Drosophila melanogaster: one gene and its partners. The protein of the gene in region 3 interacts with the protein of the main gene of each other region in a pairwise test. Each region holds a gene or a part of one and is shown on either strand. Other genes may lie near its edges.

Region 1 (3,988 bases), on a different chromosome or scaffold from region 3:
TTATCGTGTATATGCATTACTTTAATAGCGATGTTCTCATATATATATTTTTCACCCTTAAACATTACCACTTAAAAAACTTAATCACTTAAATTCCAAAATATTTGCGTGCGTACCAATCCATTTGTCATCAGATCGCCGTCAATAAATTTATGTTATGTATACGTTGTTTGTAACCGGAATATGTTGTAAATTAGTCAAGCATATAATAGCTACTGTCGCCACAGTTTTAATTAGTTAGAGGAATAGCCAATTAAAACCAAAAATAATAGTAATAGTTCGGTTGTTTTCTTTTTTTGTACCATATTCTGTGGTGTTTCGGTCACAATTTAGACTAGACTTCAATGACCAACGATGAGAATCAGTCTGAATTCACACATATGGTATATTTTCCAGGAATCGTTGATTTAAAGATGAGTTTGTAAACTGTGTAACCTCTACTTAAGTTGACTTTTCAATGATTTAATTATAGCTTGTGAAACTCGCGATAACTTAAAAATTAAAAAATGCAAAAAAGCCCGTTTCGATCGTTTACACAAAAATATACCCATTAGGAATAAAATGCACGATCTGGAAGGATCATAATTTGCCAATACCCACCCATCTTTATAACTTAAATTGGATTGCGCACTGCAGACGCTGATTGAATTTTAAATTTCGTCTCTCTACCATGAGCCGGAAAAAAAAAATGTAAAATATTCCGATTAATTACCAGAACCGACAAAAGATTCTAGGGCGGGCACATGGACGGGTTGTCTCCGCCGAATGCATTTAATTTGCATGTTCACGAAGGTCCTTTTGTGTGCATTTGTATGTCTGGATGTCCGTCCTCAACGCCAATGAGTCAATATTATTACGGTCGACGCTTCACACTCTCCGTGAAATTGGCAAAAGGGAAAGCGGCCGCAAACGCTGGCAAAAATGCTTTCAATTAATTAAACACCCGAAAAGCAAGGCTATAATGAGAATGCAATGTGCTGTGCAAAGTGCTCTAAAGAGAGATGTTTGGTCGGGGAAACCCGCAGCGGGTCCCTCGATCAACTCAATCAACAATGATGCCAATTTACAGGACACTCGATGCACGTAGCGAAAGCTTAAATGATGTCCAAACTTTATATTATATCTTTGAAATTGTTTTAAAGTCATTTGGGATCTGTAAAGTTGTCTAAAGATTTGCTGTAATACATAAAATATATTTATAATATGATTGATACACGTTTAATCTCTTCTATTTAATTCATTGTGTGCCTTTCAAGGTCTTCAGCACATCATCATTTTTATACATTTTTAGAATATATTTCGGAAATTATAAATCAAATTTAAGCCGCATATTTTTCACGAGTGCAGTCTGCGGCATGCAGCTCATTAATAATACAGATAATGTGTTTGGCGGCAATCATTTTTCGGTTGCATGCCATCGCGGTGGCATTGATTAACACCGCCAATGGTCAACGCAATGTCAGACGAAAGGCAATGATATTGGGCGGGAAAAGGGGAATTCGGTTCAGTATGGTCGTATGAAGATGTATGGCGAATTAATGTATTTTTGGTAGTGTTTTACTCGGTAAATTGCTTGTTAAGTTCCTGATCGTTGAACGAGCATAATTCCATTCAGCTGAAATGTAACCTGCGGTCGATTAAATGTCATATGACATTTTCTACTGACATTCTTTAAAAACTTACAGCAAATACGAAACAGAACTAAAGCTCTTAAAACCGCCAAGTCATGTGAGACCATTTGCAACAGTGAGGCAGCCTATAAAAAGCACTGTTTCCCAGCTCAAGCAAATATTCAAACAAAGCCACGGACAAGATGTTAAGCAAGTTTTTTCCCCACATAAAAGAAAAGCCATTGAGCGAGCGGGTTAAGTCCCGAGATGCCTTCATTTACTTGGATCGGGTGATGTGGTCCTTTGGCTGGACAGAGCCTGAAAACAAAAGGTAATGAAATCAATGTAAGCACATATATAAGTATTAAAGCTACCATAATTTCCCGTAAAGGTGGATCCTTCCTTATAAACTGTGGTTAGCGTTCGTGAACATAGTAATGCTCATCCTTCTGCCGATCTCGATAAGCATCGAGTACCTCCACCGATTTAAAACCTTCTCGGCGGGGGAGTTCCTTAGTTCCCTCGAGATTGGAGTCAACATGTACGGAAGCTCTTTTAAGTGCGCCTTCACCTTGATTGGATTCAAGAAAAGACAGGAAGCTAAGGTTTTACTGGATCAGCTGGACAAGAGATGCCTTAGCGATAAGGAGAGGTCCACTGTTCATCGCTATGTCGCCATGGGAAACTTTTTCGATATTTTGTATCACATTTTTTACTCCACCTTCGTGGTAATGAACTTCCCGTATTTTCTGCTTGAGAGACGCCATGCTTGGCGCATGTACTTTCCATATATCGATTCCGACGAACAGTTTTACATCTCCAGCATCGCCGAGTGTTTTCTGATGACGGAGGCCATCTACATGGATCTCTGTACGGACGTGTGTCCCTTGATCTCCATGCTTATGGCTCGATGCCACATTAGCCTCCTGAAACAGCGACTGAGAAATCTCCGATCGAAGCCAGGAAGGACCGAAGATGAGTACTTGGAGGAGCTCACCGAGTGCATTCGGGATCATCGATTGCTATTGGAGTAAGGTGTTTCAAATGCTACAAGAACACTGTGTCGCAAAGACATAGTAAAATGAAATATTTGAAACAGTTTTCTTCTATTCCTTTCCTTTTTATTAATGGCCTTTTTTTATTTCTTAGCTATGTTGACGCATTGCGACCCGTCTTTTCGGGAACCATTTTTGTGCAGTTCCTCCTGATCGGTACTGTACTGGGTCTCTCAATGATAAATCTAATGTTCTTCTCGACATTTTGGACTGGTGTCGCCACTTGCCTTTTTATGTTCGACGTGTCCATGGAGACGTTCCCCTTTTGCTATTTGTGCAACATGATTATCGATGACTGCCAGGAAATGTCCAATTGCCTCTTTCAATCGGACTGGACCTCTGCCGATCGTCGCTACAAATCCACGTTGGTATACTTTCTTCACAATCTTCAGCAACCCATTACTCTCACGGCTGGTGGAGTGTTTCCTATTTCCATGCAAACAAATTTGGCTGTGGGTGTCAATATTTTAGATATATCATTGATTTTACACCTATTTTAAATTACTTTGTTATTATAGATGGTGAAGCTGGCATTTTCTGTGGTTACGGTAATTAAGCAATTTAACTTGGCCGAAAGGTTTCAATAAGTTGAGAGGGACGAGCTCTGCTACTATTATATTATATATTATATTATATTATATATATATTATTTTATATTATATATTGCTGTACCCTAATAAATATTTAGTAATATCACTGTTTTTCATATATATCAAACTTTGTGGCGCCCTCGGGTGGAAGAGTTTTGAAAGCCAGACAAACTGGAATACTGCAGTTTTTCGCAAAGGAAGGTGCATGGGTCGGATACACCACAACTGTCCACTTAATAAAATGCATTATTGCCAAATAACTAATGTAGTTACTTACAAAAAAAAAAACCGAAACATATAAAAGCTACAAAAACAAAATATGTGAGAGAATACAAGGGAAATGTATAATTCATACAAACTCTTTAAGAAGAGTTTCTTGGTTAATTGATCGATTTTAAACTTTTTTTTTTACTTATATTTTCCTTTTAGGTGTGAAGGTGTAGTTTGTAGGTGATTGTGGTCGAATGGAACCATACATTTGTTAACGTTTTCCCCGGTGACATTCCCGGAAAACTTTTAGCAAATACGAAACAAAGCTTAAGTTCTTGAAATCGCCAAGTCATGTGAGACCATTTGCAACAGTGAGGCGGCCTATAAAAAGCACTGTTTTCCAGCTCAAGCAAATAATCAAAAAGAGCCACGGACGAAATGTTAAGCCAGTTCTTTCCCCACATTAAAGAAAAGCCATTGAGCGAGCGGGTTAAGTCCCGAGATGCCTTCGTTTACTTAGATC
Region 2 (4,598 bases), on a different chromosome or scaffold from region 3:
AGCGCCTGCCGCCGCTCATTTCAATTTTCGACGCGCTCCTTCGTCCCTCAGCCTTCCTACTTCCTTCGTCCTTCGTCCTTGTTGTGCTCCCGCTTAGTTGTCCTTTGGTGCTGTTGATGTTTATGCTGCTGTTCCTGCTGCCGCCGGCAATTGTTTAACTAGTTGGTGTCAGTTATAATGAATTTTAAATTAAGTTGTTATTGCTGTCGGGCCGGCATTAAACGATCCTGCTCACAGCAGCAGCAACAGAAGCAGCAGCAGTAGCAGCAGTTTATTTGCATAATAAAGGACATGACTAATGTTAATTAAATTGCACCAGACAACGACTAGTTTTTGGGCATTTTAATTAAAAGCGCAGAGGGCGACCCTCGGATATTCAAATTCGATGGGCCAGCCTGAAAGTATGCGGCGAAAATTGAGCAATAAAAAATGCATAGGGCATAAAGCACGAACTAATGCCACTCAATCAATATCAACACTAATTGCTTGGAAGACCAAATATTTACTTATTCATATCGCTGTGGAACATCCTTCTTGCCCTAATTGAAAGCCACCATCGCCGCAAATCCGAATGCTTTGATATTTGTGAATCATACTTTCGGGCATCCCGAGCAAACAGAATGGGCAGAGCCTTGGGCCGACTCCACATCCTTTTGACTTTATTCCAAGCACAACATTCAGCTGCAATCTACAATCTATTTTGTGTAACAATCTAAGAAGCCAACTATTTGCATGCCAGGATCCAGGAGCCAGGATGCCGACTCCGTGCCAGCAGTCCGATTAAATCCTTTCAAACGACAAGCATATGCAAATGCCAAACAAGCAGCCAGGACCACAGCCAGCAACAACTTTTTGCATTACCCGGATTGCTGGAAAAGCGAATGGGAAAAGGGAAAGGGAAAAGGAAAAGGAAAATAAAGGAGCAGGGGGAATATGGAAGGGGATACTCCGGTTTTTTCGGTCTTTCAGCTCATTTGCCGGTGACGCCACGCAGCATGGTAAAGTAGGAGTAGGACGCATTCAACAGACTCTGGAACATGGCCAATGTCATGGGGTAAACGTTGCCGACTCTTATCTGCAAGATGAAATGGAGCGCACAGCACCCGGAATGGAAATGGATTACAGTCCTCGCAATGACTCGCAAATGAAATGCACCCAATGCCCACCCACCTCCATCGGGTGTTGTGTTTGCATCAAGAAGATCAGGAGGGTTTTGCGAAACCGAGTTCCTGCCTCGTACCAGGGCACATTGTAAACAGCCTCCGCCACCCGGTTGTTCTGCATGGATACAAGTTATAAGGAGTCATGGATAGCTATCAAATTGAATGGAGTTGGTAGTATCACCTCGAGGCATATTTCATTGGCCCGATTGTAGTAGGTGAAGAGAACGTACAGCATGGTCAGAATGTACATCACTATCGAGATCACCTGGGTGGGTGAGGTTATCTGGAATGGTAATGGTATTTTTAAAAGGACCACAGTCTTAGATCTCGGAGTGCCACAGTGCCATAGAAGACCGCCATCCCAAAGTTTTGGTTCTTCCAATTTATGGAGGCTCTGTGGCACCCGAACTCAAAATCAGTGGCCTACAATATTCAGACAGAAGAGCAGTGAGCAGATTATCGAGCCAAAAATAATTGCTTCCACCGCCACAATGTTGGCCACCAGTTTGTTGAGCTGCCACACATAGCTGAAATGGAAATGAGCAGCTTAGAGATTTCCCCAACCCCCGATTTCTTCCCCTGCGGCTCACCGCATCACCTGCGTGTGGTACGCAATGCAGGAGGCCAGCCTTTGGAAGCGCTCCTCCTCCGACTGCTCTTCTCCGCCAATCTGGCCCAGCCTGTGTACCAGGATCTGCAGCATGGCCTTCCCAAAGATGGCCAGGCCGGCAAAAAGGCTGACGAAAGGCATGTACATCATGGACAGCAGCAGGGGCGTAGGCAGTTGGGCCAAGTAGATAACCTCGTAGACGGGTGAACTGGTCATGCTCACTCCTGGTAGAGCTAAGCCGAAGGGATGAGCTGGAAGGAAAAAAGTGACAACACCAATTGGGAATTTATATTCGAAAAACTAAGCAATGCACAAACTACTTTGCAGTTTTAACCACTATTTAGCAATTTTCCACTCTTTTACTCTACAAATATCCTTTCGATTTGAATGACGGTTATTTTAATCCCATTCTGTGAGTGTACTAACCTCTCTCCTCCCTGAAAAGCGGCGATACCAGAGCACCGACAATGTCCAGGAAGGAGGCACTCAAATTAAGGATGGCCAGGTTCCGAGCCTCCCGTTCCGCCCTCCGCAGGATGCCACGCCCCCACTCGTCGGTGGAGTCGAGAATCGAATGGAACAGAGTGGCCAGTTGGCCGAGAAACTCCTCGAACTGGCGCCGCTTGATTATGACCAGCCACGTGCGCATCAGGGCGTTGAAAATGGCCGAGAAGAAGAACATGTTCAGAATGAAGGCGGGCAGGTCGCCCCACATCCGCAGCAGGTAGACGAACTGCATCAGATTCATCGCAGTCACCGGCAGCACGAAGGCGAACTTGCGCCAGCTGGAGCCCGGAGTGGGGTACAGCACGGCCAAGTGTCGCCACATCCGCACGTTGATGCCCACCAGGCCGATATCCTCGATTGTCATTGCTCGGCACTTTCTATAAGCTCCTTACCGGCAGATCCACTCCAGACTGTGCTGCAAAGTGCTGGGCAAATGTCTTTTATTCTGCACCAATTGTCGCCATCGAGGAGGGCAATCTGCGGGCTAGCGATTGACACTATAAACGGAAGTGGCAGTACGATTCGAAATGGAAGTGGGATTGGGAAGTGGGAAATGGGAAATGGGCATTGGGATTGGGAACTGAGGCCATTTGGCACTTGTCGTCGCACAGCCTATAATTTAGCTAATTGGCTAATGATGAGTGTAATGTAATTGAAGTTCGATTGCGATTGCCATTCCCATGGGGCGCAGAGCTGGGCTGATTGGAAATCCAGCCGAAGAGATTTGCATTTCCAATTGCATTAATGCCCTCAATCGGGTTATCTAATAATCGAATTCAAATTAAATCGTTTTTATTGGAAATTTTAGATATTATGTCAGCAGAGCTTAATGTCAGTATTGCTGTTTAAATATTTCATATTTTAAAAATAGAAGTAAGAGGCGTATTTAAATGGCCTTTTATTAAGCGTATTAAAGTGTTTTTTGTTTTGATTTTTGTTACATATACAATTGAATCTGAAGTGAAATTGTTTTACCAACTCCTTAAACTGCGTTTATTTGTATAGTTTATTGTGCATAAACATATTTAAAATGTTCCCTTAAATACAGCCTTTCATTGAATTGCTTGTAAATTAATGAAAATATGACTAGCTTAAAGAGTAAGCAACTTAGACTAATGAAATCTAGAAAGTAATAGAAATAAGCATGATTTTATCCTGATTAATCCTGGTGGAATGTATGTAGTTTAGGTGGCATCATAGATACTCTTTAAATGAGTTGGAAAAACAAATATTTTCCCAGCAACCAATGAGTCAACCGAGCGTTCCCTTTAAACTAAAGCTCTCGCTGAGCGAATATGTAAATCCCCATTTAATTTGGCCATCGATTTTGCCATGCTCTTCCGAGCCAGTCGCATGGGAGATGAGCAATCGAGTGGACGTGTTCACAGAAGTCGCGGATAAAACAAAAACGTAATTGTGATCCATCACAAACATTTGCGCAGATCGTGTGCTTATCTCACAAACAAAATCTATTTTTAGTCACTGCATAACGGTGACGGCTTCGGTTCGCGAAACTTATCAGCAACTAGCAATTTCTAAGCTGTGTTGTTTTTGCCCCTCGCCCTGCGCGCTGCGCAAGCGGGAGGTTGTTACAATTTACCTTACAAGTAAACCGGTAAATCTTATCGTGTTTAGTAAATATCAATTGCATTATACGGCATAAGTATAAAGACAATTGATATAATGGAGAATTCATTTGCTCAATCGCGACCTAGCAATGGGTGCGATAAATTTGAGAAAATGAGGAAAGTAGCAGGTGTTGAGCCAGGAGAATTACGCTCCCAACTCCGCGCCAGCTGTGCAGTTGTTTCCCCTAACCTGGAAGGTATGCCAACTCAATCTACGGTCTCCAGCTTAATGGTGACAATCAGCAGCAACACCAATGCAAGTGTTACCTGCACTATTTCTAACGTACAGGCCAACATGATCTGTACTCCTACATACACTGATTGCACAACCGTGACCACTAGCATTTGCCCAACTACGCCTTATGACAATGGACTGCCGACACCTCTGTCATCACTGCCCAATAAGCCATCTAAAGCGAAATGCCCCTTTCAAGCACATGATCGTACTGTCAACAGGAAACGAAAAGGCGTGTCTCAGCCCCCATTACCTATCCTCACCCCTTCTCCAAGCCGTAAAACTAAAAGGCAGGCCACTATGCCACTCAATGAGGAGGCCTCTACCTCCACTGCAGCAGCATTAAATAACAATCGCTTCGCGCTTTTGTCTGCTGAAGCGGAGAATATGGAGCAAGACGTGTCGGATGCTGATTCTGACATTGAAGACTCTGCTGCCCGAGATGGTGGTGGACA
Region 3 (7,533 bases):
CAACAATATAAAATTAAGCTTAGAATTATTATTATTTTAATAGCTATCACTATCGATTTGCACATTTTTATCCGTATGAAAATAAAAATTAGGCAAGACACTTAAAATTAAGCATGCAAATTCTAATCACATGATTATTATAGATTCTATTAATACTACTACTGAGCCAACTTATATCGATATTCAAATAATATTTGTATTTTAATCTTCCACACGTTATATAGGCATATTTAATGCACCTCATGCTTTTACATAATTGCCGAAAGAGTGGCAACGTCTTGCCACAGCGTCTCTTATAATTTTAAACTCGTGGAGCTGAGCCATCTCAGATTTAACTCTCCCTGCGCATGCTCTCGCGTGGGAGAACAACTTCGAATTTCGGGCAGAAGGATAACAAAGAAAGCACTCCAACGAAACGAACACCCTACAGACTAATATAGAACACCACAAGACCAAAACTCGTTTAGTTGCCGCGTTGACAACTTTGTGGCAGGCGGCAAACAAACAAACCTCACACTAGTCCTGAATGTCCTTTATGCGGACAGCTGTGGGGGCGGGGATCCTGTTGCAATTCCATTGTGAAAGCCAAATGCATTGACCTGCTTAGACAGCTGAGAGATTTACAACTCCCCTATAACTCCTGGCCGTGCTGCAGTTCTGGGAAAGGGAGCAGCGGCATTAAATGGCAAATAAATCTAAAGTTAAACTTTTGACACTGTCTCGGCGAGCAGCCACGAAGGCACTTCCTTCCGACTCCCTCGACTTCCGGTTGGAATCTGTCGCCCTGTCAGCGGCAACAGAAGAAGTGACACTGGCACGCAGACAAGTGCACTGAGAGAAATTGCTTCGGTCATAGCTCAGTGAAATACTAATTATTTCTGCTGAGAAATATTGACAATTTAAAACAAAAGTCATAAAATATGAGCATACATTTTTTATGATTAACTAAATACTAATGCATTCGTTAAATATATATATACCGCCGAAAACAAATTAAGACATTTCCTATTCTGTCAATTACAATTTCATATTCAGTTATATTGTTTTAAACTAAACTGGCGATATATAAACTTTCTGGCTGAAAAATCTTTCTGAAATTGTACACCAGCAATTTCTCCATGTGTACTACTGTGCGATGTATAAGGATTGGATTTATGAGCGCCCAGCACCTCTACCGAAATCTTATAAAACCCGGGAATAAATAATAATAATTCTTGCGCTTTTCGCTGTTGTTCGCATTTCCCGCATTTCTCTGCCATTCTTTTCCATTCTTATGACAATGTCAACATTTCTTTTGCTCCCCTAATGGCCTGAAGAAAGCACACGCACACACACACACACATATAGACCACTCGCACACTATGAAACCGAATGTGGCACACACCCCACGCACTTATTTATATGTATTTTCGATCGTCTGTTGTTTTTCCAAGTCGGTTATGCATAGCCATAAATTCTGGTAAAAGCCTTCTGTAGGTCGAGGGCCACGGCGGTCCGAAAATAAAGGAATTGCTCCTGATGCTGGCACTTACGCACACAGCCAAGCAGCAGGATGGGAGAGAGAGGACCTCGCACACACGGACTCACGCACTCACACGCAATTGGTGTTCTCGCCGTTTTTGTTTGTCACTTAACAGATTTTTCTGTCCTTGCTGGGTATTGATTTCTAATTTTTCCTTCGTCGGCTTTGCGCCCCAAAGAGGTTTTTATAATGTGTGCGTGTGTGTGTGTGTGTGTGTCGCATTGATTTCGCAATTTATGGGCGATTTGATGGATTGCTTGAATAACTTTATATGCTTATTTTTGAGTTTTTATTGTTTTACAACTTGCGGTATTTTATGTAGAGATCCTGTGGACGACCTAATGGAAATCATTTGGTTTTGGCTGAAATGCGGCCATAAAGGTGTGAATCAAAATAATGTTGCCTATACTTCGGGTATATCATTTCATATGGAAAGCGCTTAATAATAATTATATAAATATATAATTTCTAGTTAATGTGACTTTATTAACCCATTAGTGCGTTTTAATCATTTAATTTGGCATCAGAATCGATCACAGTCACGAACACAAAAGCGTAATGGTAAAAATAAAGGCTCATTTGTTTAAGTTGTAAATTAAATAAAGCAAGTGTCACTTTCCATTTAAATGTTGCCTAATAATTAATGACAAAAGGCTGCAGGGCTCACGATGTCCGCGGTTAGCTAATTGATCCAAACGCATCCGCGTAATTAAACTTTCAGCCACAAGCCCATAAAATAAATCAAAAAGCGAAGGACCGAAAGGGGCAACATTTAGGGGGGGGGGGCTTGTTTCGCATGGCTGAGTTCAGGACGATTAAACGTTAAATCAATATTGTTAAATCCCCGCTCGCATCCCCGCAATCCACACAGGCAAGTGTTCACGTATTAATTGATGTTCGTGAGTGTCCTGCATTTAAATAATCCATGATTTGGGACATCTGTGTCTGAGTTCCCATTCATATATGTATGCATATGTGTATATGAGTGGTGGAAACTAGCTGCAGATATAGCTACAGACACAGATACATTTACATTCCGGCACATAGTTTTAAGTGTGATTCAGTTATTCACAATAGTCGCCGCTTTTTGTTCTTGCCACGTTTTAATATTGTCACAACTAGTTTCGAATAACTAAATTGGATGTTTTCGATTAGCATTCAATACACTGCTCAGCAATTTCGTTTGCGTTGCAATTTGAGTACTAGATTTTGAATTAGACAATTGTTTTATTAATTGCCTACATGTATATTACCTAACTGATTTCGAAGGCCACTTGTACGACCTTGAGATAGAGTATTAATTATTTAAATTCTACTGTATTATAATTGCAAAGAATTGTAAGTATTCATAATATATAATGGCAACCCAATTTAAGACTTCTTTTGAAGGCCCCCGCCTACCGAAATTCAGTGCCTATGAGAACTGAGAACGAAAAAAATTGAGCAAGGACCAAATATCCATCAGGCTGAACACACACATTTTCATGCAAATAGGCAATGTGTTATTTTTTTGGGTCAGCGATTCACGGAGGGATCCCCACCAAATGGGTTGGCTGAGGAATGGCCTATCCCCATATCTCAGCGGCACTTGGGGCAGGCCAACAAATACAAGCAGGCATAATAAAATAATCGATGCTTTTAAAATTTGCATAAGTTTGGATACCGCAGATGCCGCGCAAGGATGAGCCCATCTCCAGTCCCAGTGCCATTCCGCCAGTGCGCATACGCCGCGTGGAGGGCACAGGACTGGGCCATGGCCCATGGCCCAAAAGCGGAGTCCTAGACCCGGAGACGACAGCAGTGGTGGACAAGTTCGTGGGCGTTCGATTTAATTGTGGGAATTCTGCGTCTGCCACGCACCCATCACATCGATGGACGTGGCTGAAGAGCTGAATTTTTAAGCGCTCCAAGGCGGCCCGATACCCATATTGTATATTTTCATTACCATGTGTGGGTCGGAGTGAAAGTCGCGGGCTAGGATTTAATGTGGCCTTGTTGCAGCCGTGGGAACTCGTCCTCAAAGTACACGTCCTTATGTACAGCGGAGCAAGTACCTAGCCGACAGAAGGAGCAGGCACTTGTCGACAGAGCTTTTTAACCTTCCGGATTTCACATTTCATTACCGTCGACATCGCGGTGCTGGCAGGTCAACTGTGTCCTGGTTCCGGAAAGCCTCATATCTCGTATCTTAAAGTATCCCGGTTAAGCCTTAAAGAGTGAAATGATTGCCTAGATGATTGCTGCATTACTGGCACTCAATTAACCCAAGTGTACCAGACAACAATTACATTTGTATTTTTAAAGTTCAATAGCAAGGTAATAGCACTGGGTCTTTCAATATTACAATATTACCAATTAGAGAACCATATATCGTACACAATTGTTCCACATTCCGAATTTAATAACTCACGATCGATAGCCAAATTAATATTAATTTGAGAGGACATGAGTCCACCTGAATATTCAATATGCATTATACATTATCCCGCTATGAATAAAACATTCCAAATCGATTCATTTCGGGCAGGAAAATTCCTTTTCTACTCGGCAAGCAAACCAAGGACTAATCACAAATACGGAATATTGAACAGATTACGTTCATAATAGCTGATTGTGTTGGCGAAACCTATTAATTTTGTCGTGCAATTTCCGCCGCTCAACAGGATGACAACCTCGATGCAGCCGAGCAAGTACACGGGCCTGGTCGCCGACCTGATGCCCAACATCCGGGCGATGAAGTACTCCGGCCTGTTCATGCACAACTTCACGGGCGGCAGTGCCTTCATGAAGAAGGTGTACTCCTCCGTGCACCTGGTGTTCCTCCTCATGCAGTTCACCTTCATCCTGGTCAACATGGCCCTGAACGCCGAGGAGGTCAACGAGCTGTCGGGCAACACGATCACGACCCTCTTCTTCACCCACTGCATCACGAAGTTTATCTACCTGGCTGTTAACCAGAAGAATTTCTACAGGTGAGCCTCTGCTCACCGCACCGAGCTTACGAACACTTGGGGAATTTAAAATTTTATGTTTTTCCGGCAGAACATTGAATATATGGAACCAGGTGAACACGCATCCCTTGTTCGCCGAGTCGGATGCTCGTTACCATTCGATCGCACTGGCGAAGATGAGGAAGCTGTTCTTTCTGGTGATGCTGACCACAGTCGCCTCGGCCACCGCCTGGACCACGATCACCTTCTTTGGCGACAGCGTAAAAATGGTGGTGGACCATGAGACGAACTCCAGCATCCCGGTGGAGATACCCCGGCTGCCGATTAAGTCCTTCTACCCGTGGAACGCCAGCCACGGCATGTTCTACATGATCAGCTTTGCCTTTCAGATCTACTACGTGCTCTTCTCGATGATCCACTCCAATCTATGCGACGTGATGTTCTGCTCTTGGCTGATATTCGCCTGCGAGCAGCTGCAGCACTTGAAGGGCATCATGAAGCCGCTGATGGAGCTGTCCGCCTCGCTGGACACCTACAGGCCCAACTCGGCGGCCCTCTTCAGGTCCCTGTCGGCCAACTCCAAGTCGGAGCTAATTCATAATGAAGGTGATTTGTTGAGTCTGAACCTAAACTTTTAGGCGGTTATTCAGTGAGCACTTCACTGAATAGGAAAATGCCATGACGAGCTGTTTTTCCATTGCAGAAAAGGATCCCGGCACCGACATGGACATGTCGGGCATCTACAGCTCGAAAGCGGATTGGGGCGCTCAGTTTCGAGCACCCTCGACACTGCAGTCCTTTGGCGGGAACGGGGGCGGAGGCAACGGGTTGGTGAACGGCGCTAATCCCAACGGGCTGACCAAAAAGCAGGAGATGATGGTGCGCAGTGCCATCAAGTACTGGGTCGAGCGGCACAAGCACGTGGTGCGGTGAGTTCAAATCCTGGCCAAATTGGACCAGCCATTTCAAGGGGGCTTTGGCCAGTGATGATTGGATTTTTGGCGATTTAAATGGCAGAGCAGTCCACTCATATTTCATGGACTTGGATTTTTGCCTTTAACAGAGCACCGAACATAATAAACACACACACTTTCCCCTCAGTTTTGTAAAACTTCAATAGGCGCCATCGGAACATGTGTTCTCATTTATTAGGAGCTCAACAGATCCCTGCAGCTTGTTTGACTTACTTGATTACTTCCTCAATTGCAATCATTGTTGGGGGCCCTAGAGGAATGTCCTTGTTTGTCCTGTCCGACAGTTGGCGTGTGCAGTTGTTGATACCAATATTGACTTGATTCCTGCCTGCAATCCCTCATCCTTTCCCCCGTTGCCTTTTCCCCACAGACTGGTGGCTGCCATCGGCGATACTTACGGAGCCGCCCTCCTCCTCCACATGCTGACCTCGACCATCAAGCTGACCCTGCTGGCATACCAGGCCACCAAAATCAACGGAGTGAATGTCTACGCCTTCACAGTCGTCGGATACCTAGGATACGCGCTGGCCCAGGTGTTCCACTTTTGCATCTTTGGCAATCGTCTGATTGAAGAGGTGAGTTTGTGCAGGGTTGCAAGATAAATTTATAAGTAAATCAGACATCAGTCTCAACTGATTAATAATCGAGAACATCCTTATTTGAGTTATAGGGATATTTATAAAAAATTTTGAGACTTCATTAAAACTAAATGAATTGTAAGTTGAGAGTCAACAGATTGGTCCGTTCACTACAAGCTAACCAGTGTGTTTTTTCCATGTGGTAGAAATAAAAGGGTGTTTTTGCGTATGAGATAAAATTGAACCAATGTTTTCAAGTTTATAGATTGGGAAACATACATAGTTCTAAACGTTGTTATAGTTATAGTTTGTGTAGTTAGTTATCTAGAGCATCCTTAATACGACTTTCATTTCGCAGAGTTCATCCGTCATGGAGGCCGCCTACTCGTGCCACTGGTACGATGGCTCCGAGGAGGCCAAGACCTTCGTCCAGATCGTGTGCCAGCAGTGCCAGAAGGCGATGAGCATATCGGGAGCGAAATTCTTCACCGTCTCCCTGGATTTGTTTGCTTCGGTTTGTTGCATTTGATTTATTGATCTATTGATGGAGTTAAAACTGAATCGGATATTCCCGATTCGCAGGTTCTGGGTGCCGTCGTCACCTACTTTATGGTGCTGGTGCAGCTCAAGTAAGTTGCTGCGAAGCTGATGGATTTTTGTACCAGAAAAGCGAATGCCAAGAAGCCACCTACCGCCCCTTGCCCCCTCCGCACTGTGCAACCAGCAATATCACAGAGCAATTATAACGCAAATTATATATTTTATACCTGCGACGAGCGAGCCTCGTGGGGCATAATGGAGACATTCTGGGGCACATAGAAGCCTGCAAATACTTATCGATTTTGTACACGCGTAGAGCTTTTAATGTAAACCCAAGATGCAAACTAAATAAATGTGTAGTGAAACTCGAAGGTTTAATGGGGGGTTAATAGAATAGAAACAGGCGGAGTTTATTTCATTTTAAATTTCGAATTCATTCGAATTTATTTGCATCTTAAGTATTAATATATATATATATTCTGCATATACAATATAAAATCTAGAATATTGTCAACTATAATATATTTTGGTTTAGCAAACTCAAATAGAGAACTGTTTCTCAATTACTTTAATGTGTGTTATGAACTTTTTTTTCTGAGCTCCATTGTTAAATTGCTAGTTTAGATTCAAGTTGGGTCAGGAGCGGCTTGTAGTCCATCAATTAGTTTTAATTCAATAATTATCGGTGCTGTTCACATGATAAGCGTGGAATTTAATGGGCTAGACGCCGTGTTTATCGCATCACTGGCTTGCATGCCGCAATTTTCACGGCAAACGTATGTGCAAAACGAACTAAATTTAGGAATAAATGCGGATTATAATCATAATCTTTGGGCCGTAGTCGTTTTGGCCACATTTTTGGCAACTGTTGGCGCAACAGCAGAAGCAGTATGAGTACGATTAGAAACGGCCAGCCATCGTCAGCAGTTGCAGTGGCAACAATTAAAAGTGGCAAAAGTGTAATTCGG

The links.
Region 1: the proteins of Orco (region 3) and Or22a come close enough for resonance energy transfer, tested with the Drosophila melanogaster proteins (3 studies listed by BioGRID, with this or other methods).
Region 2: the proteins of Orco (region 3) and Or43a interact in a two-hybrid assay, tested with the Drosophila melanogaster proteins (2 studies listed by BioGRID, with this or other methods).

Annotation. Positions count from the first base shown.
Region 1 is NT_033779.5:1,518,800-1,522,787, forward strand, and holds Or22a (odorant receptor 22a), read left to right. Parts: upstream 1-1,691; 5' UTR 1,692-1,813; coding exon 1,814-1,941; intron 1,942-2,001; coding exon 2,002-2,640; intron 2,641-2,759; coding exon 2,760-3,117; intron 3,118-3,183; coding exon 3,184-3,252; 3' UTR 3,253-3,357; downstream 3,358-3,988. Other genes in the region: Or22b (odorant receptor 22b), read left to right, coding at 3,904-3,988. UniProt on the Drosophila melanogaster protein: Odorant receptor which mediates acceptance or avoidance behavior, depending on its substrates. The odorant receptor repertoire encodes a large collection of odor stimuli that vary widely in identity, intensity, and duration.
Region 2 is NT_033778.4:7,232,249-7,236,846, forward strand, and holds Or43a (odorant receptor 43a), read right to left. Parts: upstream 2,666-4,598; 5' UTR 2,645-2,665; coding exon 2,200-2,644; intron 2,025-2,199; coding exon 1,754-2,024; intron 1,691-1,753; coding exon 1,591-1,690; intron 1,447-1,590; coding exon 1,345-1,446; intron 1,279-1,344; coding exon 1,171-1,278; intron 1,076-1,170; coding exon 971-1,075; 3' UTR 592-970; downstream 1-591.
Region 3 is NT_033777.3:5,406,577-5,414,109, reverse strand, and holds Orco (odorant receptor co-receptor), read left to right. Parts: upstream 1-1,703; 5' UTR 1,704-1,715; intron 1,716-3,640; exon of another isoform or gene 3,641-3,838; intron 3,839-4,185; 5' UTR 4,186-4,186; coding exon 4,187-4,494; intron 4,495-4,564; coding exon 4,565-5,079; intron 5,080-5,176; coding exon 5,177-5,402; intron 5,403-5,817; coding exon 5,818-6,022; intron 6,023-6,383; coding exon 6,384-6,539; intron 6,540-6,607; coding exon 6,608-6,658; 3' UTR 6,659-6,927; downstream 6,928-7,533. UniProt on the Drosophila melanogaster protein: Odorant coreceptor which complexes with conventional odorant receptors (ORs) to form odorant-sensing units, providing sensitive and prolonged odorant signaling and calcium permeability.